3 linked regions of the Caenorhabditis elegans genome follow. The protein of the gene in region 1 purifies or fractionates together with the protein of each later gene. This does not show direct contact. Each region holds a gene or a part of one and is shown in the gene's direction. Other genes may lie near its edges. The genes, in order: spp-14, ttr-17 and Y38A10A.7.

The links.
Region 2: the proteins of spp-14 (region 1) and ttr-17 fractionate together in Caenorhabditis elegans (co-fractionation; one large-scale study listed by BioGRID). This does not show direct contact.
Region 3: the proteins of spp-14 (region 1) and Y38A10A.7 fractionate together in Caenorhabditis elegans (co-fractionation; one large-scale study listed by BioGRID). This does not show direct contact.

Annotation. Positions count from the first base shown.
Region 1 is NC_003284.9:7,722,346-7,729,837, forward strand, and holds spp-14 (Saposin B-type domain-containing protein), read left to right. Parts: upstream 1-3,633; 5' UTR 3,634-3,634; coding exon 3,635-3,790; intron 3,791-3,839; coding exon 3,840-3,995; 3' UTR 3,996-4,038; downstream 4,039-7,492. Other genes in the region: K09F5.6 (Protein tincar), read left to right, coding at 1-150, 198-281, 332-565, 631-960, 1,327-1,526, 1,581-1,773, 1,902-2,264; vit-1 (Vitellogenin-1), read left to right, coding at 5,556-6,428, 6,481-6,765, 6,811-7,492.
Region 2 is NC_003282.8:11,063,752-11,072,082, reverse strand, and holds ttr-17 (Transthyretin-like family protein), read left to right. Parts: upstream 1-5,056; 5' UTR 5,057-5,058; coding exon 5,059-5,206; intron 5,207-5,252; coding exon 5,253-5,383; intron 5,384-5,885; coding exon 5,886-6,002; 3' UTR 6,003-6,064; downstream 6,065-8,331. Other genes in the region: ttr-16 (Transthyretin-like protein 16), read left to right, coding at 7,969-8,116, 8,165-8,298.
Region 3 is NC_003283.11:6,092,558-6,101,008, forward strand, and holds Y38A10A.7 (N-alpha-acetyltransferase 40), read left to right. Parts: upstream 1-3,639; 5' UTR 3,640-3,653; coding exon 3,654-3,754; intron 3,755-3,799; coding exon 3,800-4,138; intron 4,139-4,189; coding exon 4,190-4,346; 3' UTR 4,347-4,536; downstream 4,537-8,451. Other genes in the region: smut-1 (Synthetic MUTator), read left to right, coding at 4,548-4,680, 4,728-5,255, 5,303-5,808, 5,857-6,024, 6,107-6,334; crt-1 (Calreticulin), read right to left, coding at 6,615-6,857, 6,913-7,536, 7,632-7,952.

The DNA of each region.
Region 1 (7,492 bases):
CAGCATGAACAAAAAGCATTAATACTGACTTGCATCATAATTGACGTCGTCTACATGTTTTCATGGATTCTGATGTGGCTTGGAATGACCTTAAAAAGAGATTGGGATTTTAATGTTACGCATAAAGTTCATCAGTTCTATGGATTGAATGTAAGTTTGAACAATAAATTGATAGTGTCAAGCAGAATTATTTTCAGAAAGGAATGGCAATTGGACCAATTCGTGGAAATGAAAATCCATCTCAACTGAAAAACTCTATTCTTGTTGTTCATCGTGATACTGTAAGTACATATTAGTTCTTAAAAGTGAAACAAGCATTATTTTTTTAAAGATGTTTGTGACCGATGACCAAACAGCAAAACAATCGCTTCTTCGAGCAATTCACAGTGGAAAGTTTGAAATGATAAGTCCACCCGATGATGTGTACTGGAGGCAAGGTCAACAAAGTCCTGCAACTCGGGCGAAAATTCTCACCGAAGTTGACGGCGTTAAGAATAGTCCTGAAATGTCTAGATTGTTGAGAATGGGCACAGATGACACGCAACAAACGATGAGTTATCACTCAGTGAGTCTTTGTTTCACAACTATCCAATTTCGTAACCTAACATTTCCCAACATTATTTGTTTCAGAATGGTGGTCGTAACATAACTCAAGCTCAAATGACCAACTCCCAAATTTTGCAACGTGGAAACAGCTCACCACCAGGTCCTAGCCAGTTTGGAACCATACAACGCAACCAACAGCAATACAGCCAAATGGGCACACTACAACGCGGGCAAAGTGGCGGAACTCTTCAGCGTGGCGCCATGATTCACGACAACGTCTGGAATCAGTACTCGGCGATTCAAAAAAAAGACGAGCAGCAGCAACACATGCTGGGCCAACGGCGAGATAGTGGAGAGGCCGCATACGGAAGAGTTGATAGCACATACGGAAGTTACGCAAGAATTCCAAATGTGGTGGGTAGAATAAAACAGGAGTTGTTGTGAAATATGTGGTGCACTTTTGCAATCGTATGATTTAAGTTAGCAAAAACATTGGCTGATGATCGACTTAATAGTCAAACATTACATTGAGTCGATGTTTCATAATAACAAAAACTGATGATATCACGGTACATGCGTAATAACTGTACCTCAAAAAGTTTGTAAGTATCTCACAAAATATAACGTGACCCTAAACATAAGCCTGAAGCCTAAAAAACAATTGTATCATTCATTTGCCTGTTGACCATTACTGAACTTCATACGAAGCGAACATTTTAGGGTACAGCTACTAAATATAAGATACAAATTTCTGTAAAAATAGAATATTCTGAATTCCAGTCTCGAATCCAAGTAACCCCACAAGGAAGTCAAATTCGTGTAAACGGTTACGGAGGGCTACAACAAAACACACTTCAGAGACGTGAAGTCACACCTACACAACATTCTCAACAACCATCATTAAGCTCAATCCGCCAGTCTCCACTTTTATCAGACCGCTCTGGGATAAACGTGCCTCCGCCACAACCTCTTGTCAGCAGGTATCTTGGCAAACTTTATGTTCAACATTTCGATATAATTTTTGAAAAATTCAGGGAACAGTCTCCTTATCAACGGTCTGCGATCAAACTTTCTTCGTTCTCCGAGAACAAGGGTAGTGGAATATATGGAACAAGTGGTATTGGATCAGGAAATAATGTTCAATGGGGAGGTGCTCAACGAGCGGCACCTGGGCAACCAGGTCAATTGCTATGGAACCCTCCAGGAGCTACAAACGGACACAATAAGGTTATTTTATCTATTTGAGTTGTTGTATTCGAGCTTTTCTCTCATTATTTCAATTTTTTGCACGATGAGTTATTTATTCATTCACATTTTCGGCACACATCTCATTCTAACATCCACATCCATTGCAGTCATCGCTAACCAGCACAACAAATTCATCTCAAAACGATGAGCAATGCTTTACCCCGACTTCAACACTAACAAGTCACGGAAGTAACTACACTCCAACACCTGGATCTCCACAAGGATCCAATCCGATCTATTCCCGAATCAATGGAGCATCTTCCACATCGTCAAATCTTTACGGAGTTGCTTCCAAAGAAAGTCAATATGCTGACAGGACACTTCAAAAAGCACCGATCAAATCTACAACAGTGACGACTGGAAATACAATACTTCGTTCCGTGAACGGAACAGATGACACTGTATCAAGCTTTTCTCGTCCACCCACTGGAGCACTTAACCAAAATGACTTTGCTACCAGCATTGTGTGAATATTTGTTTTACATTTTTGGTAGGTCTTAATTCAAAAGTAACTAGAAATGTTTACAAATTCAAAATTTTCAAACGGAATGATTGCAACTCTGAAATATAGAAATCATCAAAAAAATTGAAACAATTGAAAGCGATATCATAACTATCTGCATCGAATTATGAAAAAAAAACCGAGATATTTTACTATTAATTTACAAAAATGTTATGATTCACCGTATTTCCTCTATTAGTATTGCATTACCCTTTAAATAGAAATAAGGAACACGATTAAACCGAAATTGTATATCATGTAACCTGATCATGTAAGCCTAATAAAATTAGTTCAGAAAACGGTTTCAAAGCCCATATAATTTTAGGATGAAATTGATAAGTTTCACTGTTCACAGAGTTTGCATTCTTAACTTTTGACAAAGATACATTTTACAGGAACCCTACTGATCCCGATGAACTATTCCCCCAATTAACACATGAACCAAATCAACTCCGTGACAATGCACTTCTTCTCGCCAAACACTTAAACAGTTAACCGCCAAACAAACACATCATCCCACTATAATTGTTGAAATTCATTTTTTATTTTTCTCTATAATTTCGGTCTTGATTTGCAAATTGCTGAAAACGGACTGAATTCTACTGTTTATGGAACAATTTCCTCGCCACTTTCTTTGATTTTCGACCCTTGTAAGTAAGCGCGTAATAATTGCCTCCCGCATTTTTATGTATAACTGATAATTTCTTCTTACGTTTTTCTACTCCTCCTCCCTTTTTTCATGTCACCCCACACCAAAAATCATCAAAAATCGTTTCCTTTGTTACTGTACTATATTCCCGTTGGATATCGGGTACATTTCTTTGAATTTCCACAATTTCTCTGAACATTTTGTCATAATTCGTTTTATTGTTTGTCAACCCCATTTGACCACATTCTTTGTTTCAATATTTTCTTTCTCAGATTTTATTGAAATCAAATTTCAAAAAAAAAAAATCACTAATAAAGAGCAAACAAATTTAAAAGTATCAAGGAATATAAGAATATGTTATTGAAATATGATGTAAACAGTTTTATCTCAAATAGAGTTTTATAATCAGACAGAGTAAAGAACTCAAAGATTCCGGATTATCGGGTTATCAGTGGGTTATAAAAGTGGGCGGGACAGTGTCATGCGATTCAAGTTTTCGTCGGGCTGAGCACTTAAAATTTCCTTGTTGAAAGTCTGTATAAAATGAACGAGACAATCGTTATGATAACAGCACTTTAACTCTTCCCTTATCTTTCGGAATTTTCATTCATTTCATTCATGACAAACTTGCAGACTGCTGATTTCTTGATAAGGTTAGAATGTCGTTTTTATATTATTTTCTTTTTAGAATGAAGACCACCTTCTGCCTTCTGGCCCTTGTCGCCGTCGCTACCGCTTTGGCTCTCCCAAGCCAACAGGACAATGCCATGAGCTGCCTCATGTGCGAGGTCGGAGTCCGTGCTGCTGAAAACCCAGCTGACAGAGAAGCTCACACCGTTGAGGACGTAAGTAGTCAAACTGTTCGTTTGGTCATTATAGTGAATATGATTTTAGAAATTTGACGCCGAATGCAAGAAGGAACTTGGAATCATTCCATTTGCCGAGAAGGAATGTGAGAAGTACGGAAACTCCAAGCTTGACCCCATCATCAACGAGCTCGAGGGAGGAACTGCTCCAGAAGATGTCTGCAAAAAGCTCAAGGAGTGCTAATTCTTTATGTTTCTTTTTCTTCTGATAAAGTGTGAATGACCTTTGAAATTGTTTATTCAGATATGAACTTCAAATTGTCAAATATCAGCGCGCCTGAAACTGATAAATCTCACTAACTCTGAACAAAACTGACTTTTCGTGAGAGGAAGAGCAAAGTTAACTACAGTGGCAATCAAAGCTATAGACGTTGACTACCAAAAAGTGTCGATTCGGCTCTAACGTGACAACTTCTTGTTAGCTCCAAATTGAAAGCTGAAATAAACTTTTTTCGTATAAGGTTATCAGGTTATTTTCTACGCAAGTGTAGCTTGAATTGTAACAATTCAAGCCTACATATGTCAAAAATTAATAAACCGCGTTTAAAATAAAATTTTACCTAAACATTTAAATCTGAAAGATGAAGTAAACTCCGATGATCAATGTTTTTTTTCAGTAAACGTTTGAATTTTTTCACGTTCTTTGGTTGAAAATTTGAATCAAACGATTTTAATAAATCTCGACAAAACTTTGTCAGTGAATGCATTTATCTTTTGAAACAGGCAGAGGTTGTCCTGTTGGTAAGCAGGCTTGAATACCTATTCCAAAATCATTCTTGATTTTTGGTTTGGTAAATGATGTGACACTTCGTTTTCACATATTCAGTCATTTTGTAATGTGTTCTATGAAAAAACACAATTAAGGAAATAAGATCTGTTAATGGCTAAAGTCACACATGTCACACCAACTATAAAAAAAATACAGTTATTATATTCCACAAAATCTCTAGTAACCGTTTCTGTTTAAAAAACTATGTTTACAATTTCGGTTTTTTTTTTGTTTTTTTTTTGTTTACAAACCTCAAATTGTTCTCGTTGCACTTCACATTTAGTGAATAACTTAGAGAAAGAAATACAACAACAAAAAAACAAAACTTTATCACATAAGGTACTCTTGTGGATATTCGAATGTAAAACTTGCTGTTTCCTGCATGTCATTTGAGAGATAAAATTGTCACCTGAAATATACAATTCTTTGATATGTTAAAACAAAGTGCACTAGCCTTTATGCTCGACTGAAAAATTGAATCAACAATTATAAATAGCAACCGTCTTGTAAAACAATTTTGCGACTTAAATATATAACCTTGAAATAAATTAAATGGCTGAAACTTCAAAGTTTTCAACTTCATCACTACAAAAAAGTTTTTAAAAAAGTACTTTGAAAAAATTGGCTATTAGTTGTTAGCATTACACTTGAAATACTTGTCCTCCACAAAACAAAATTTCTCCGCAATTGTCATAACACTTGTCATAACACTACTATCAATTGCATAAAGACAATTTGTGCATGGTCAATCAAAGTTTGATGAAACACGTAGAAATACAAAAAATTCACATTTGATAGAAGCTATTTCTGAGATTCAGCGATAATAAAGTGAAAAATTATTGAGCAACTGTCAATGTGCCAAATTAAAGCCTTATCAGTGCGCTAAATGTTGCAAACCCTTCATTTCAATTCAGAAAATGCCAATCGAAGGTTGTATATAAGGTTACCTGTGAAGAGGAAATTCATTGTCCAATCATGAGGTCGATTATTATCGCATCTATAGTGGCTTTGGCCATTGCTTTCTCCCCAGCTTTCGAGCGCACATTTGAGCCGAAAATCGACTATCATTACAAGTTCGACGGACTTGTTCTTTCCGGCCTTCCAACTGCTTCCTCTGAGCTCTCCCAATCTCGTTTTTCTGCTCGTGTCCGTATTCAAGCTGTCGATGACCGTCACATTCACCTTCAACTTGTGAATATTCACATGGCCGCTTCCCACCTCCCAGAGTCCGAGCAGATTCCATCCTTGAACTCCATGGAGCAGCGCGAACTCTCCGAGGAGTACAAGCAAATGCTCAAACTCCCACTCCGTGCTCAACTCAGAAATGGACTCATCGCCGAGCTCCAATTCGACAAGGAAGATGCTGAATGGTCAAAGAACATGAAGAGAGCTGTTGTCAACATGATCTCATTCAACCCAATTGCTCCAAGAAACGAGATTGAGAAAATCGAATCTTCTTATGACAAGGAGGAACAATCTGAGGAAAACACTTCTTTCTTCACCAACGAGAAGACCCTTGAAGGAGACTGCCAAGTCGCCTACACTGTCATCCGTGAGCAGAAGAAGACCATCATCACCAAGTCCATCAACTTTGACAAGTGCACCGAACGTTCCGAGATCGCTTACGGACTTCGTTACTCTTCCGAGTGCCCAGAATGCGAGAAGGACACCGTGCTCATCCGCCCACAAACTGTCTACACCTACATTTTGGAAAACGAAGAGCTTAAAGAATCCGAGGTCCGCTCCCTTTACACTGTCAACGTTAACGGACAAGAAGTCATGAAGACTGAAACCCGCTCAAAGCTTGTTCTTGAGGAGAACCACTCCATCAAAAGTCACATAGAGAAGGTACGTTAATCCATAACTTTTACAGTATGTTCTAAGACAAATATTCTTTCAGGTCAATGGAGAGAAGGAAAGCATCATCTACTCTTCCCGTTGGGAGCAACTCGTTGAAGACTTCTTCAAGAATGGAGATAAGGCTGAGTTCGCCCCATTCGAGAAGTTCCCACTTGACAAGAAGATGCACTTGATCAAGACTATCACTGAGCAAATACAAGAAGTCGAGAACAACATCCCAGAGACCTCCCACTTCCTTGCGCGTCTTGTCCGCATTTTCCGCACCACCTCCACCTCCCAACTTAAAGAGATCCACGAGACTCTTTACGTCAAGGCTGACAAGAAGGTATACATTTTTAGTTCATTTTATAATTTACCTTGCAATATTCAGATCCAATCTTTGATGGAGCACGCTCTCGCTATTGCTGGAACCAAGAACACCATTCAACACATTCTTGTTCACATCGAGAACGAGGACATCGTTCCACTCGAGGCCGCTCAACTTCTTAAGTCCATCCAAGAGACTCCATTCCCATCTCAAACCATTGCTGAAGCACTCATCAAGTTCGCCGAGTCTCGCGTTTCCAAGAACAACCAGGTTGTCCGACAATCTGCTTGGCTCGCCGCCGGATCAGTTGTCCGCGGAATTGTTGACTACAAGAATATCCGTCCACTCGTCCGCGAGGACAAGCGTGAGCTCAAGGAGAAGTTCCTCCGCGTATTCATGCAACAATACAAGGATGCTGAGACCACCTACGAGAAGATTTTGGCACTCAAGAGCATCGGAAACGCTGGACTCGACATCTCCGTCAACCAGCTCAACGAGATCATTGTTGACAAGCGCCAATTACTTCCAGTCCGCAAGGAAGCCATTGATGCCCTCAGACTTCTTAAGGACACCATGCCACGCAAGATCCAAAAGGTACTCCTCCCAATCTACAAGAACAGACAATACGAGCCAGAGATCCGCATGCTTGCTTTGTGGAGAATGATGCACACCCGCCCAGAAGAGTCTCTCCTCGTCCAAGTTGTTTCCCAAATGGAGAAAGAGACCAACCAACAAGTTGCTGCTC
Region 2 (8,331 bases), on another chromosome or scaffold:
GGTAGTCTAGGTAGTCTAGGTAGTCTAGGTAGTCTAGGTAGTCTAGGTAGTCTAGGTAGTCTAGGTAGTCTAGGTAGTCTATAGTCTTGGTAGTCTAGGTAGTTTCGGTAGTCTTGGTAGTCTAGGTAGTCTAGGTAGTCTAGGTAGTCTAGGTAGTCTAGGTAGTCTTGGTAGTCTAGGTAGTCTAGGTAGTCTTGGTAGTTTAGGTAGTCTAGGTAGTCTAGGTAGTCTAGGTAGTCTAGGTAGTCTAGGTAGTCTAGGTAGTCTAGGTAGTCTAGGTAGTCTAGGTAGTCTAGGTAGTCTTGGTAGTCTAGGTAGTCTAGGTAGTCTAGGTAGTCTAGGTAGTCTAGGTAGTCTAGGTAGTCTAGGTAGTCTAGGTAGTCTTGGTAGTCTAGGTAGTCTAGGTAGTCTTGGTAGTTTAGGTAGTCTAGGTAGTCTAGGTAGTCTAGGTAGTCTAGGTAGTCTAGGTAGTCTAGGTAGTCTAGGTAGTCTAGGTAGTCTAGGTAGTCTAGGTAGTCTAGGTAGTCTATAGTCTTGGTAGTCTAGGTAGTTTCGGTAGTCTTGGTAGTCTAGGTAGTCTAGGTAGTCTAGGTAGTCTAGGTAGTCTAGGTAGTCTTGGTAGTCTAGGTAGTCTAGGTAGTCTTGGTAGTTTAGGTAGTCTAGGTAGTCTAGGTAGTCTAGGTAGTCTAGGTAGTCTAGGTAGTCTAGGTAGTCTAGGTAGTCTAGGTAGTCTAGGTAGTCTAGGTAGTCTTGGTAGTCTTGGTAGTCTTGGTAGTCTTGGTAGTCCAGGTAGTCTAGGTAGTCTTGGTAGTCTAGGTAGTCTAGGTAGTCTAGGTAGTCTAGGTAGTCTAGGTAGTCTTGGTAGTCTAGGTAGTCTAGGTAGTCTAGGTAGTTTAGGTAGTTTAGGTAGTCTAGGTAGTCTATAGTCTAAGTAGTCTAGGTAGTCTAGGTAGTCTAGGTAGTTTTGATAGTCTAGGTAGTCTAGGTAGTCTAGGTAGTCTAGGTAGTCTAGGTAGTCTAGGTAGTCTAGGTAGTCTAGGTAGTCTTGGTAGTCTAGGTAGTCTTGGTAGTCTAGGTAGTCTAGGTAGTCTTGGTAGTCTAGGTAGTCTTGGTAGTCTAGGTAGTCTAGGTAGTCTATAGTCTAGGTAATGCTCCGCCACGCTGACTACGCAATTGAGTGATAAGCTCGGGGATCTGAAAAATAATTGATTTCTAATGGAAGTTTTTTGAATTAACTGACGTCTACAGTGTTATTACGAAACATGAGTTCAATAATATAGTCAACCGCAATAAAGCTCATCGATCGATTGATCCCTTCGGCAGAATGAATTAAACATTTTCCTTTGGTCACCTTATCTGATGGCTGAAGTGAATAAATTCCTCTCAGAATTACTTTTGGACTTGGTGCCACGTGTCCTTTCGGCCAATGTGGATAATGGAGAATTGTTATGAAACGAGCATTGCCTGATTCCTTCCCGTTGGTGGGGTCATTTTCCAACAATGAACGAAGAATTGACCGTGGTTATAGAATTTTCCTAAAATATATATGATTGTTAGAGAAAAATTTTTGGTCTTGAGACATGCAACAAACAAAAATTTTCAACTATCGTACCATCAGATGTCTCGCAATTATTTCTAGTTTTTCATTTGTTTCAAAATAATTGTTTACTTACTTAGATAAGTAAGTAAACATTAAAATGTCTGAAAGCACGAAAAAATGAAATAAAATTTTCTGAAGTTATGAAATAATAAAGAAATTATATGATTACGGTAGCTAGCAAATTCTATTCAGACCAAGACTTTTTTCTGACTGCAACTTTTTAATTAGTGAAACCTACCATGTTCAGTCGGAAAATACATGGGAAGTTGCTCATCCGGGGAGAAAATTGCAAAAATCACATCAATTTCCTGATAGAAAACCATTTTCCAAAAATATTCGTAATATTCTTTCATTGGATGTTGAGCAACAATCCATTTGCGTTCACAAGGTGGACATGAAGTAATTGAAGCATTGATGTAATTTTTTTCATCTTCTGCTTCTGTTTTAAGCCGTACACGTGTAACATCGTACAATGGAAAATCAGGATTTCTGTTTTTTTCTCGATTCGCCTGTAATACAATTATTGTGATTCATCAAAGACATTACTAGTCTTATTAGTCTCTTATAGGCATTACGAAAAATGTCGGCTACTTTGTTAAAACCGACGCGTTCCTATCATAGCCTAGTTGGAAGCTATGGTAGATGAAGGTACAGTGACGCCTACACAATAGATTGATGAGAACTCGTAATGTATGTTACCTGAAATGCATAGGTCTTATGCTCCTCCGGTGGTGTCCTCTCGAAAGATGACGACTTGAAAAAACCAACAAGTCCACCAGGTTTAGCTTGTGTCTCCGTCATCCATCCGATTGTTTTTTTGATTCCACCTTTGGCTTTTTCAAATGTTGCATCTTTGGTGCACAAGTTTTTCGAATTTTTTGAGTCTTTTGATTCGTTACTTTTACTCTTTGATTTTTCCTTGCTACCATCTTCAGCTGGATTCATTGTCGAATTCTTTCTGACAGTGTTTTTCTTTTTTCTGCAAGTAAACTCATTTTTAAAGTTACTTTAAACTATTCCACAAAAACGCATTCGCAAAATGTGAACCAAAAACTTACTTATCATTACGTTCTTTACTACCTAAAGCCAGAGACATTCTGTCGCACAACTCGAGTGAAAATTGAAAATAATCGAAATTCGATCGACGTTCTTGACACTCTGTTTAAAAAACTGAAACGTGAATTCAATTAGCATAATATCCTGAATGGAAATTATCTTTTCGCCCTCCACGCGAAATGAAATTTAATGATAACCATAATGCTGATGTGCTCGTTTCCAAATAGAATTGAATTCATAAAATTAAAATAAATAAAAACAATATAAAAAAAAATTAATCTTCCAAACAAGTAAAGCATTCAATCAATATAGTTTCGGGAAAAATGGAGCTTCATCCTTGAAGAAAGGTAGCAAAAAAACTTTAAAAACCGGTAGACCAGAAGTTGTAGATTTCTCTGAGACGTTCCATGGAAATTACCAATTGCAGTCGACAATGAAACATATTTTCTACAATTTATAAAATTTTTCGTCTATTAATATACTTGAATCATAAGTATACTGTGTAATTCGAAGAAAATATATTTGCTTTGATCGGTTTTAAGGTAATTTCCACACTGGCGCTACTCCACTTCACAAGCTTTGAAAATATATCCTAAATTTCTCAAAAGTTAGTTTTTGCTTAATTTGGCAACTTGCCAAAACTTGGACTAATGATTAAAATCTGAAACTCTTTAAAGTGTTCTGATTAGACATTTTATTTTTCAAATAACTGTTTTGTGTTATTTGACAAAATCCCAACTGGGTACTTCACCAGGTCTTTTTCATCAGAAACCAATACAACTATTTTCTACACTTTGAGATTTAAGTGCATCCCACTGAGCCGTGTAGTCCCCACATCTTATCACAGCTCTTCCTGTCAATCAGTGTCAATCAGATGTATCTTCTCAACTAATCATGTGACACACGTATCTCTCTTCAACATTGAAATGTTTATAAACACATGAGAAAACTTAAATTGACAGTTGTTCCATTTCCATTGGACATCTTTAAAGTGGTGTTACACTTCTTAACGTCATACAAGTTTTTAAGAGACACAGACAAATACCACGCAATAAAAATTGAGCTGTGTCGGAATCTGATTAAAATGAGAAGTTGAATAGATCACACACAAGAAGTACGAAATGATCAAAGTTCGAAACAAGTTAGCAAAGTTATATGAAGGTTTTGATTTGTATATTAAAACACCTGAACTTGAAACAAACCTGAAAGAAACCGGCAGTCCTCAGTTGTTGAAGGAATATCTTCAACATGTTCACATCTCCACAATTAAAAATAATATTTAAGGAAAGAAGCTTAAAAAATGAACCGTTTTCCAAAACTTTCCAGTTTTGAGCCAAATAGTAAGTCAATCAAATTTTAAAAAAAAACCAAAATTTTTTTGATAAGATTTTCTTTGTTGAGTACGATATACACTTTGCTTGCATTGAGAGAATAACCAAGTTTCCTTGGACAGTCATAGTTTATTCAAAAGTTTACATTTGAACATAATTAAAAATTTGAAAGATGTTTACAATTTATTTGAAAAAAGACTAAAAATATTTTTCAAGTTTTGTCACCTCTTTCAGATAATTTTTTAGAAGTATACTTATGTATACATTACACACTTCTAAAGCTATGTCATTTTCAATAAACCTCCTAGAGTAAAAAGTTTGTTTTCGGTATAAATAAAAGAAGCCAACTGACAAAAAATTATACGTACACAATGCGTAGTTCAATCTTTGTGGTAAGTAGGGACATGCAGAGAAGACTAGGGATGACGGTTTTTTTTTTCGAGTTTTCATTCTGCGTTACGAATTCTCAAGATCATGAAAAAATACTAGTGTCCAGTTATTTCAACTATCAAGAAATCATGACATTAATTGAAAAATTGCTGAAACACACATAACACTGAAAAAGTACGATATGCTGGATACCGAACTTCCGGTTCAGTCCGGTTTGCGAGACTAGACATATTAACTCTCCGAAACGTGCATCTCAAAAAGTTCTACTTCATCTATTTTTAACCTTATCATCATCAGAAACCAATCCAATAGAGCAGGGAGTTCAAAAATCTCACAAGTCCCATTCTTGATTGAAACGACTCATTTTGCTCTCTGATCTATTTTTATTTACGTTGATGATGGTCCATCTTTTTCTTCTTTTTCTTGAAAACTATTGCTCTTCGATTCTTTCTTTTTCCCCACATCACTTCAATTTAAATCCACCACCTACGTTTCTGTCACCTGTTGGAAATAGATGGATGTGTTGAAGAAGAGTATCAAGCAATTTTATATTTATAAAAACAAAACGATCACTTCCGTTGCAAAACTCCGCCCATCTATTATAAAAGTACACACTTGACGCTCAAAACTTTCAGTTCTTTTTTCTTGCAATAACAACAAAAAATCGTCAAACTTTCAGCCATGTCTCGCCTTGCTATCCTTGTTCTTTTGTCACTCGCTGTATTTGAAGTATCCGCCAAACTTCAAAATGTAACTGTAAAAGGAATTGCCGTTTGTAACAAGAGAAGAATGGCTAATTCCCATGTTATTCTGATTGATAAGGATACCTGTAAGTGTGACAAGGAAAAATATTAATATTATTCCATAAGTTTCAGTGGACCCAAATGACGAATTGGCTCAAATTCATACCAACAAGGAAGGAGAATTCGAGTTGTTCGGAGAGGAAGATGAGATTGGCAAAATTGAGCCATACATTCGTATTCATCACAGTTGCAATACCAAACCAGTAAGTATTTCTAATTTAATCTAATCTTATGAGTGAAACTGTAGGAATAAATTAGAAAATCTGGCTGGTAATAAGGAAAATGGCAATTTGAAAAAGTTTGATATTTTCTTGAATTATTATACATTATTATAAATTATCATGAATAATACATTGATGAGAAGCAGATTATAAAGGTGCATATATAGATACAAATTAACCTTGTGAATTGAAAATATCTAGTACAATATGACACTTAAATAACCCTCCCAAGTAGGCAAATATCTCTTCCTGACTGAAAGCCAATTTACGCTCTCCTGATGATAAATTGAAACTTTTGGTAAATTTATTGCAAATCAGAAATACGCAAATCTACACAGTGCAAATACTGAGCGTGGTTTGAAATGCAAAATATAGGCGGTAGGTATTTAGGCACGTAAACATGCACACCTACTTAGCAATAGCTACTTCGAATATAAATTTGAAAAACTTAATTGAAGAAATTTAAAAAATGTTATGTTTCCAGGGATGTGAACGCGTTTCCGAATATCAAATTCCACAAGAAAAAATCGGAGAGGTCTATGACATGACTTATGTTACCCTTGATATTATTGTTCATGGAGAGAAGACCATCTGCAACTAATTATGATTTTTTTGTTTCAACTCATATAATTGTATGTACATAAATTCGTATTTTACCCTAAAACGTTTTGAACTATTTCTGGTTTTTGTTTTTAATTGATTCGGAGTACAACCCCCTGCCAACTGACGAAAGAGAAACTTCGGGATTCCGGAATGATTGGGCAGTGGAGTGGAGTGGAAAAAATATGTTCAGGAAGGTTGAAAAATACGTCGAGAGAAGGTTACGTAAGAAGTCAAAAGAAAGAAACAATTGAAGAGTGACAAATAGAACGAGGACAAAAAAATAATTTTCTTGTCGAAAAGAAGTATAACTTTTAAATTTGGTCTATTTTGATACCTTCCACAGAAAGAGTAAATTCAGAAAATAAATATATATAATAAAAGTTAAAAATTTCCAGAATCGTTTTGTGTGACATCGGCAACTACCGCAGCTTTCCAGATTTCAAGTTTTTCTGAAGATTCTAGTTACGCAGATCTGACATTTTAAAATTGTTGTTCTTTCAGCATTGGAATAAAAAATGCTCAACTTATAAAAGGTAAACCTATACAGTTAGAAAATGATATAGTGCTGGCTGCACACCAAGCTGTAACACGATCGTGTATATGTTCTTCTGGATATCTGACTTGTTTTTCGTTGATGTTTCAATTTTTGTGAATCATCGTTCTTTGTTACTCGAAGTCCGGGAAATCTGGGCATTGCAGTAGAAAGTGGAAAAAATACTATATTAAAAAACATAGGTCAGTACTTAATTGAACCCCTCGAGAAATAAAACAAAATTCATTAAAAATAAGTTTGAACTGTTTATGAATTTATATATAATTTAAAACCTCATTTTAATGTTCAGAAAGCTGAATTAGAACTTCGAAACTATGAAATCATGAAACAGTGCTAAACGAAGAAACCCTCCAGTTTTTGTTGTGATGTTTAAAATTTTATATATTGTCTGACGCATTCACATTTCAAACATAAAATTCTGAGATTCAATTAGAGGGATCAATCACCAACTGGCAATAACATCAGAGACTGATCTCAAACTTTAGTGTTCGAAGGATTATCAGAAACTCAAATTGCTCTTTGTGAACATTGATTTCAATATCGATTATGTTTTTGAAAATTGTTTTGCATGCATCTAATCTTGTAAACATATCAATAATCAAGTGTACAAAATGATCATTACAGCTTTGTTTGTTTGTTTGAAAGACTGGAAGCGGATATCACTACATCCCACGTAACATCACAAAAACTATTAGCCTGAAAACGAAAAAAAATTCCAGTTGAAATATAGAAATCAATCCAATCTGAATGTATTGTCAATAATAAATATTGTGAATCAAACGGAAACGTAATATAAAAGGTACAGCGTGAGCCTGTAATATGACAGCTGAAACTGTACCGATTTTCGATAAGGTATTTCGCAGACGCACGCCTCCCCTCCTATAGCCCGGAAAACGCCTCCGATAAATATGATTTTAGATAAAATTAGAAAAAAAATTAGGGTTAACATGTAGGCGCCAAACGCATGCCTGACATTAAGGCGACGGGCCTCCCTCACGCCTCAACTCGCGCTTTCTGCCAAAATGCAGAAAACCCTGATACCACACCCTTCTCCCATGGAACTCCTATGTGGATCTGATTATCAGAAAAGAAAACTTCCGTATGTGCACAAGATATTCTGAATCCAATTCCTCCCCCGTATAAAAAATGAGTCATAATTATATTTTGAAATCTTGATTTTGTTTTTCAAGCTTGCCAACCCATTATCTAATCCCTGATTACTTGTTGTTGTTTCTGATTCAAGTTCTCATGTTGTCTCATGGCTGGCTGTTGGACACGCCAATTGGCTCTCGTTTCTTTGATTCTATTGGTTGATTGAAGGGGGGACAACACCTGACGTTAATCTCCAAATCTCAATATAAATAGTGAGCCCCAACACGACGCCAGTCACCTCAACAACTTATTGTTGAAAATGCGCTCGCTCGTCGTGTGTCTCTTGCTCGCCGCTTGTGCTCTTGAATGCACAGCCCGTCTTCAGAATGTTACTGTTAAGGGAGTTGCCGTGTGCAATAAGAAGAGATTGGCAAATGTTGAAGTTCAACTCTATGAGAAGGACACCCGTAAGTTCATTGATAGAACTTTTCTATAAATGTATTTGTATTTTTCAGTTGACCCAGATGATCTTTTGGACACCAAGAAAACTGATGCTGAAGGAGAATTCAGCGTTTACGGAGAAGAAGATGAGACTCATGCTATTGCCCCATACCTTTTGATTACCCATAGCTGCAACCCATCTAAGCCAGTAAGTCAAAATAAATAATGGAATATATTTATT
Region 3 (8,451 bases), on another chromosome or scaffold:
TAAATAGGCAAAAATAGGTGGATTTTCCAAACTTTGAAAATTCATAAATCTCTTCAAAGTAATTTTTTTTGAAATGTCTTTCAGAAACTTTGTAGTAAATTTTAAGCTCTTTCAGAATATATTAACAATATTTCAGTAGGTACAAGAAGCTTCACGTAGTTACAGAAATAGTACATTTTCAGCCCTACCTTTTAGTGCGTATTTTATTAGTTAATGAAAACTACCATTAATAGGCAAAAATAGATGGATTTTCCAAACTTTGAAAATTCATAAATCTCTTCAAAGTAATTTTTTTTGAAATGTCTTTCAGAAACTTTGTAGTAAATTTTAAGCTCTTTCAGAATATATTAACAATATTTCAGTAGGTACAAGAAGCTTCACGTAGTTACAGAAATAGTACATTTTCAGCCCTACCTTTTAGTGCGTATTTTATTATTCAAAAAAACTACCATCAATAGGCAAAAATAGGTGGATTTTTCAAACTTTGAAAATTCATAAATCTCTTCAAAGTAATTTTATTTGAAATGTCTTTCAGAAACTTTGTAGTAAATTTTAAGCTCTTTTAGAATATATTAACAATATTTCAGTAGGTACAAGAAGCTTCACGTAGTTACAGAAATAGTACATTTTCAGCCCCACCTTTTAGTGCGTATTTTATTATTCAAAAAAACTACCATTTATAAGCAAAATAGGTGGATTTTCCAAACTTTGAAAATTCATAAATCTCTTCAAAGTAATTTTTTTTGAAATGTCTTTCAGAAACTTTGTAGTAAATTTTAAGCTCTTTCAGAATATATTAACAATATTTCAGTAGGTACAAGAAGCTTCACGTAGTTACAGAAATAGTACATTTTCAGCCCTACCTTTTAGTGCGTATTTTATTAGTTAATGAAAACTACCATTAATAGGCAAAAATAGATGGATTTTCCAAACTTTGCAAAATTCATAAATCTCTTCAAAGTAATTTTTTTTGAAATGTCTTTCAAAAACTTTGTAGTAAATTTTAAGCTTTTTCAGAATATATTAACAATATTTCAGTAGGTACAAGAAGCTTCACGTAGTTACAGAAATAGTACATTTTCAGCCCTACCTTTTAGTGCGTATTTTATTATTTAATGAAAACTACCATCAATAGGCAAAAATAGGTGGATTTTTCAAACTTTGAAAATTCATAAATCTCTTCAAAGTAATTTTTTTTGAAATGTCTTTCAGAAACTTTGTAGTAAATTTTAAGCTCTTTCAGAATATATTAACAATATTCCAGTAGGTACAAGAAGCTTCACGTAGTTACAAAAATAGTACATTTTCAGCCCTACCTTTTAGTGCGTATTTTATTAGTTAATGAAAACTACCATTTATAAGCAAAATAGGTGGATTTTCCAAACTTTGAAAATTCATAAATCTCTTCAAAGTAATTTTTTTTGAAATGTCTTTCAGAAACTTTGTAGTAAATTTTAAGCTCTTTCAGAATATATTAACAATATTTCAGTAGGTACAAGAAGCTTCACTTAGTTACAGAAATAGTACATTTTCAGCCCCACCTTTTAGTGCGTATTTTATTATTTAATGAAAACTACCATCAATAGGCAAAAATAGGTGGATTTTTCAAACTTTGAAAATTCATAAATCTCTTCAAAGTAATTTTTTTTGAAATGTCTTTCAGAAACTTTGTAGTAAATTTTAAGCTCTTTCAGAATATATTAACAATATTTCAGTAGGTACAAGAAGCTTCACGTAGTTACAGAAATAGTACATTTTCAGCCCTACCTTTTAGTGCGTATTTTATTATTTAATGAAAACTACCATCAATAGGCAAAAATAGGTGGATTTTTCAAACTTTGAAAATTCATAAATCTCTTCAAAGTAATTTTTTTTGAAATGACTTTAAGAAACTTTGTAGTAAATTTTAAGCTCTTTCAGAATATATTAACAATATTTCAGTAGGTACAAGAAGCTTCACGTAGTTACAGAAATAGTACATTTTCAGCCCTACCTTTTAGTGCGTATTTTATTAGTTAATGAAAACTACCATTAATAGGCAAAAATAGATGGATTTTCCAAACTTTGAAAATTCATAAATCTCTTCAAAGTAATTTTTTTTGAAATGACTTTCAGAAACTTTGTAGTAAATTTTAAGCTCTTTTAGAATATATTAACAATATTTCAGTAGGTACAAGAAGCTTCACGTAGTTACAGAAATAGTACATTTTCAGCCCCACCTTTTAGTGCGTATTTTATTATTCAAAAAAACTACCATTTATAAGCAGGAGATCCTCTGTTGACGTTAGCACACTCTTCACTATGCGAAATCAATTTAGAAGACTGCGTCTAAATTCCCGCAATTTTCGAAGATCAAACCGAGATGGGACATTCTGACACTACGTGCACAGTTGATCGTTTGTTAATATGGCCTGGTTTTTCCGCGTAGGTTTCGATGCTTTTTTCAGTTCATGATTGCACAAATTTGTTACATTTATGCATCCATCGAACGAAATTAAACCTAAATCAACAAATAAACTACCAAATATAGAGGGTAATTATTTATATTTATGAAAGTGGAGTTCAGGTCGCTGCGAGACTGTAAAGTTGGTAAAGTGTTAGATTCTGGCGGAACATTCCCTTTTTCCAAATCTTTGAAGCCTCCTAACTTCGCCTTATTGCGAGAACACTAAATTCTGAGAATACGTATTGCGCAACCTATTTGACGCGCAAAATGTCTTGTAGCGAAAACTACAATAATTATTTAAATGGCTACTGTAGAACTTGTGGCGATTTACGGGCTTGACTCTCGAAACGAATTTCAGTTTGAAGTATGACAGCAATTTTAATTTTCGTCCATTTTTTGAGACCCGAAGAACTCGGGGGATGTCCAATTGGGGGGATTACCAACTCGGGGGATTGGCCCCGCCCACAGAACCGTGGCTTGCAATACGCCCATTTCTGCCGCACGGTTTTTCATAACTGCCGCACGGTTTTAAAATTATTTTTTCTTGTTATTTCTCGCTCTATTGAGAAAAATACAGTTTTAAAACCGTGCGGCAGTTGCAGAAATGGGCGTATTGCAAGCCACGGTTCTGTGGGCGGGGCCAATCCCCCGAGTTGGTAATCCCCCCAATTGGACATCCCCCGAGTTCTTCGGGTCTCAGACTTCTGAACTTTTCGCATGGTTAAGAACGTGCTGTCGTAACACTTTTTGTATATTTCTATTAAACATCGTTTTTTATGCTGGATAGCTGTTTTATTTCTAATAATAAAAATTGAAAATATCTAACTAGCATTCAATTTCAGATGATACAGCGAAGAATGACCCTGAAAATATTAGCTAGGAGACATATTACAACTTAAAACATACGAAATGTAAATTTGTTTCCGATTATCAACAAAATTGTACATTTTAACGATATTTTTATCAATAAAGACTAATTTTTACATATAAATGTTAATTTAAAGCAAATCCGTGACTTGACGTGATGGTGTTTGCACACTTTTCACCACAATATACGACATTCAAGTTATATGCATTTTTTTCAAATGATTCTATCCTTTCTTTTCAGTATTCTTTACGGTTTTATTGATCAATTTGTCACCAGTATAATCGATCATGTTTTATTTCTCAATAATTGTAAAACAATTTTTCAGATATCGGCCCAAAAATGCCCGTAGACTCGAAAAAATTGGTCAAAAAAGCTTGTCAGCACATAAAACCAGTTGAGAAATTCGAATGCGAGACACAAAGAAGTACTACAACTGATGGGTAGGATCTTTGAATGATTTTCAAATTAATCTTTATTATTTTCAGCGAAACTATCAAATTCGATTACATGTGGGCGACACATTTGAGTGATGAAGACTTCGAGTGGGTGTTCAGTTTATTCAAAGAGAACATGTACGATATGTATCACAAATCCCAGTGGGGATACGATGAAAATTCCAAGCGAAACGAACTTCGTGCAACAACATCAAGGTTCATCATCGCGAAGAATTCGAAAGGGGATAAAATTGGCTATACCACTTATCGATTTGTGGTCGATCACAACATTCCTGTGGCATATTGTTGGGAACTTCAAATTGTACCGGCTTATCAGAACAAAGGAATCGGTGGCATGATGCTCGACACGCTGGAAAAGCTCTCTTCAAAGTACAGTTTCAATTAATTCGAGAGCCAATAAACAAAAACTCTTATTTTCAGGACAAACATGAGTAAAGTCATGGCAACAGTTTTTCTGTATAATGGACCGTCGCTCGGCTTCTTTCACAAACATGGATACAACAGCGACGTGACGTGCCCATCCGATGATTCTGGTCTGGATTATGCGATCCTGTCGAAAGAGACACCGAGCACATAAGAATATTAAATTCTGATTCTATGATTTTCTAATTTGTTATCATCTTCATTCTGGCTTAATTGTTACATGTATTTTTTTTTGGGTAAACAAACGTTTTTTATATTTCTACTTTTATAATATTGTGTCGTAAAAACCGTTACTTTTCGTTCAAATATTTATTTTCAAACCAAAATATAAACATTTTTGTAATAATCTTTGTAGATGCCTCATCCTTGGAACACTGCCGATGCATTAGACGATAGTCGGGTACAAGTTGAGCACATTGATTTAGTTCCTCCAAAGTATGCAAATGTACTCAACTTCAGATCTATTAAAACTAGAGATTATTATTTTGGTAAACCATGTTCTGGGCAATTAAATATTTCAATAACTTTTCTTCAGCAATGAGAGATCGTCATCAGCAGTTGGGCGCAGTCACATCTTCAAAAGCTGAAACTGACAAATTGAATAAACACTGTGAGGAGAACACGATAATGGTGGATCAAGACGGAGTAGAAACTCCAGCTGATTATGGAACAGAGAGGATGGTTGCACATGCAATAGAAGATCACCGACTTGCCGCCAATTTGCAACGAATAAAAGTTCATATTCTGAATGCAGTTCAACAAAAATCAATTCAAGCTATTCGTGACCGCCGAGGACTTCTAGTGGATGCTCCAACTGGAATCGGGAAGACTTATGCGTTTCTTATTCCGGCGATTGAAATTGCATTGAGGGAGCGACCATTGCTTACCAATATTTCAACCACGCCATCACCAACTATTCTTATTCTTGCAAATACCAACTCACTCGTTGAACAACTTTTTAATCGTTGTGAAGTTCTTCTTGGTTTGATAGATATGGAAGATATTATACCTATTCGAGATATTAAAATTGAAAAACTAGTTGCTAGCTATCAGTTCACAAAAGGTTCGTTACAGCATTCGTCTAACCAAAAAAAAACGAATTCTTTATAGATCAATGCGATATTGCGTTCTGTACGATGGGAAAGCTGAAAGCATCGATCGAGGATAAAACAATTCTTCTTGACAATTTGAAAATGATGATTTTGGATGAATCTGATAAAATGATTGACATTGCATGCTTCGGAAATGACATTGATTGGGTTTTAGACCAACTACAAGAGGATGTGCTCAGAAATCTTCAATCTTGTTTCTTTTCTGCGTCTCACAACAGAAACGAAGATGGTTCAATTGCATTAACTTCACGTCAATCAAGAATGTTAGGTGAAAATCCATGGTCACTGATCCATTGTCCGAGATTGCCTGGATATATCACTCAACGAGTTATTCGAATTGGTGGACAGCGAGTAAATGATATCCATTCGAATCCTTGGATCGTTAAGATGAATATTATTTGTAAATTGTTAGATGATGATCTCAAGGAAATGGGAAGCACAAAAGAAGGCCCATGGAAGCATACTATTGCAATTTTCTGTGAAACTGTCTCAAGAGTTATTCAGGTTTTACCCCTATTCTTTCGATTTTAAAAATATTGAGAACATTTTCAGGTAACTATGGCACTTCGTCAGATGGGATATAATTTCAAACCTGTATGCAGTAGTGTGTTGAAACAACAACAAGCAATCACTTTGAATGATTTGGAGTTTTGCAACATTCATGGAGTTGTATGTACCAATATTATGTCGAGAGGAATCGATGTGTCTTCTGTGAAACAGGTAAGTTTACATATATATTAAATTGATAAAAACATGGCTACTATTGACCCAAATATTTTTTATCTTAAGTCACATATTTCAGACAATAATCATGGAAATGTCCACCGATTTTCCGAGCTACATGCATAGAATCGGACGAGTTGGTCGCGATGGATGTGGTGGAAGAGCTACTGTCCTCATCGATGAGCATCATTTATTTGGCGGACCAATGTCGAATATTATCGAGCAGCTGTGTTCTTTTATGCTCGAATGCGAGGAAACGCTTCCCAATTGGCTTGTAGAATGGCTGAAGTTGCGTCAATCACTTTAATTGAATCACATATCAATTTCCTATTTTGTGCCGGTTTTTATCGCTTTTCTATGTATCTGATCCTGTATTTTATATTCATTGAACTAATCGAACTCGTAAATAGGTTTTAAAATTTTTTTATTATAAAACAAGAAAGGCTATCCAGCATCAAAATGGATGCTCAATAAATTAATAAAACAATCAATTAACCCGAGAGAATAGGAGAGACTTGAATGCGGGGGAATTGTGATGGAGTGGGGGCGATTGTATGAAGCGAGTTGAAAAGCTGTGCACGATTTGCTTAGAGCTCATCGTGTCCTTCCTCCTCTTCCTTCTCCTCCTCATCATCATCCTTCTTGGCCTCCTTCTCCTCCTCGGCCTTCTTGCGAGCCTCCTCCTCAGCCTTGCGGGTTTCTTCGTCGGCCTTCTCCTTCTTTTCCTTCTCAACAGTCTTCAATTTGTCAAAAGTCTCGGCAGCATGGGCCTCGGCCTCCTCAACAGAGTCGGTGATGATAATGTTGTCAAAGATCGTTCCTGACTTGACCTGAAAAAATAAAGTTTGAGTTTCATTTTTGAAAAATAGAATAAAAGTTTCTTACCTGCCACAAATCGAATCCGATGGCTCCCCAGCTTTCATAAGAGTAGAGTTCATCATCAGGAGTGTACTCTGGGTTCTCAATCTCTGGATGGATCCACTTGCCCTTGTAGGCTGGGTTCTTGATCTGCTTTGGCTTCCACTCACCCTTGTATTCTGGGTTGTCGATCATTGGTGGCTCCCATTCTCCGTCCATCTCGTCATCCCAGTCTTCTGGCTTCTTGGCATCTGGATCTGGGATGTGCTCTGGCTTCTCCCAATCTTCTGGCTTGGCATCCTCGGCATCATCGATGTACTCACGCTCATCCCAGTCCTCTGGCTTCTTTGCATCTGGATCCTTGATCTTCTTGGCTGGAAGAAGATCCCAGTCCTCCTCGAGGCTTCCAGTTTGGGCGCTTTCTCCGTCGATCTTGACTTCGTAGGTATTGTCGGAGTTGAGGATGAGAGTGTAGAGATGAGTGAGTTCGTCGCTCTTGCAGGTGATTTCCTTCTTGATGAGCTTGTTCTCTCCCTTGTAGTTAAGGATAACGTGGACACGGCGAGTTGGTCCGCAGATGTCTGGGCCGAACATGACGTTGTATGGGGTCTCTCCGTGGAAATCTCCCAAGTCAGCATCAGCTCTCATGACCTGGAAAATAAATATTGTTTTAATTGAGAAACATGTTTTGATACTAACAAACTAATGCGAAAAAATTATCACATCAAGAAATTTAAAATACTAACCTTAACGTATCCACCTCCACAGTCGATTCCTTGCTCGTGCTTGACGGTGTATTGGATCACAAGAGTCTTTCCTTTGTTGGAGAAGTCCTTGTCGAACTTGGCGGCACGGGAGTAGAACTTGGCATCTTGGCTGGTCTGGATTCCTTGGTCGCGGGACTCAACATCGAAGAACTTTCCAGCTGAGAGCTTGAAGGCTCCAAAGTCATCCTTGTGCTTGGATTGAACCCATCGCTTCTCCCATGAGGCGTCGTTGAACTCCTCTTTGAAGTAGACTTCAGCCGAAACGACGGCAACGATTGCTAACAGGCAGAGTGATTTCATTTCGTTTTTCGATAAAACGACACCAAGTTGAATCTGAAATTAAAAAGTAAATATAACAATTAAACATATGAATCGGAAAAAGAAGAGATAAATTGAATGAGAATATACCAAAGAATAAAATTCGAGAATTTCAGAGAAGAAAGACTAGAAATGAAACCGAACAAGAGCAAAACTGAAACTGATGATGTTGAACTGAGCTCGTCTGCTACGACAATGGAGTAAGTCGACGTGTGTCTTGCGTGGCTGACACGGCTCGAGGTGCCGCGTATCTATTGGTCCACGTCAGCGACTGGCCAATCGGCGGTCGCCACACATTGAGAATAGGCGGAGCGTGTCTGATGAGAGGCCACGTTGCGTGTCGGCCTCGCACTGCGAAGAGAGCGAGAGAGTGAGTGAGTTGAAGAGATGCAGACGGAGAGCATTTTGGGATAAGGAAATAATGCCCTTGCGGGTGGACAGCAGTCCAGCAGAGGGCTTTTTGATATTATCGCAATTGGGA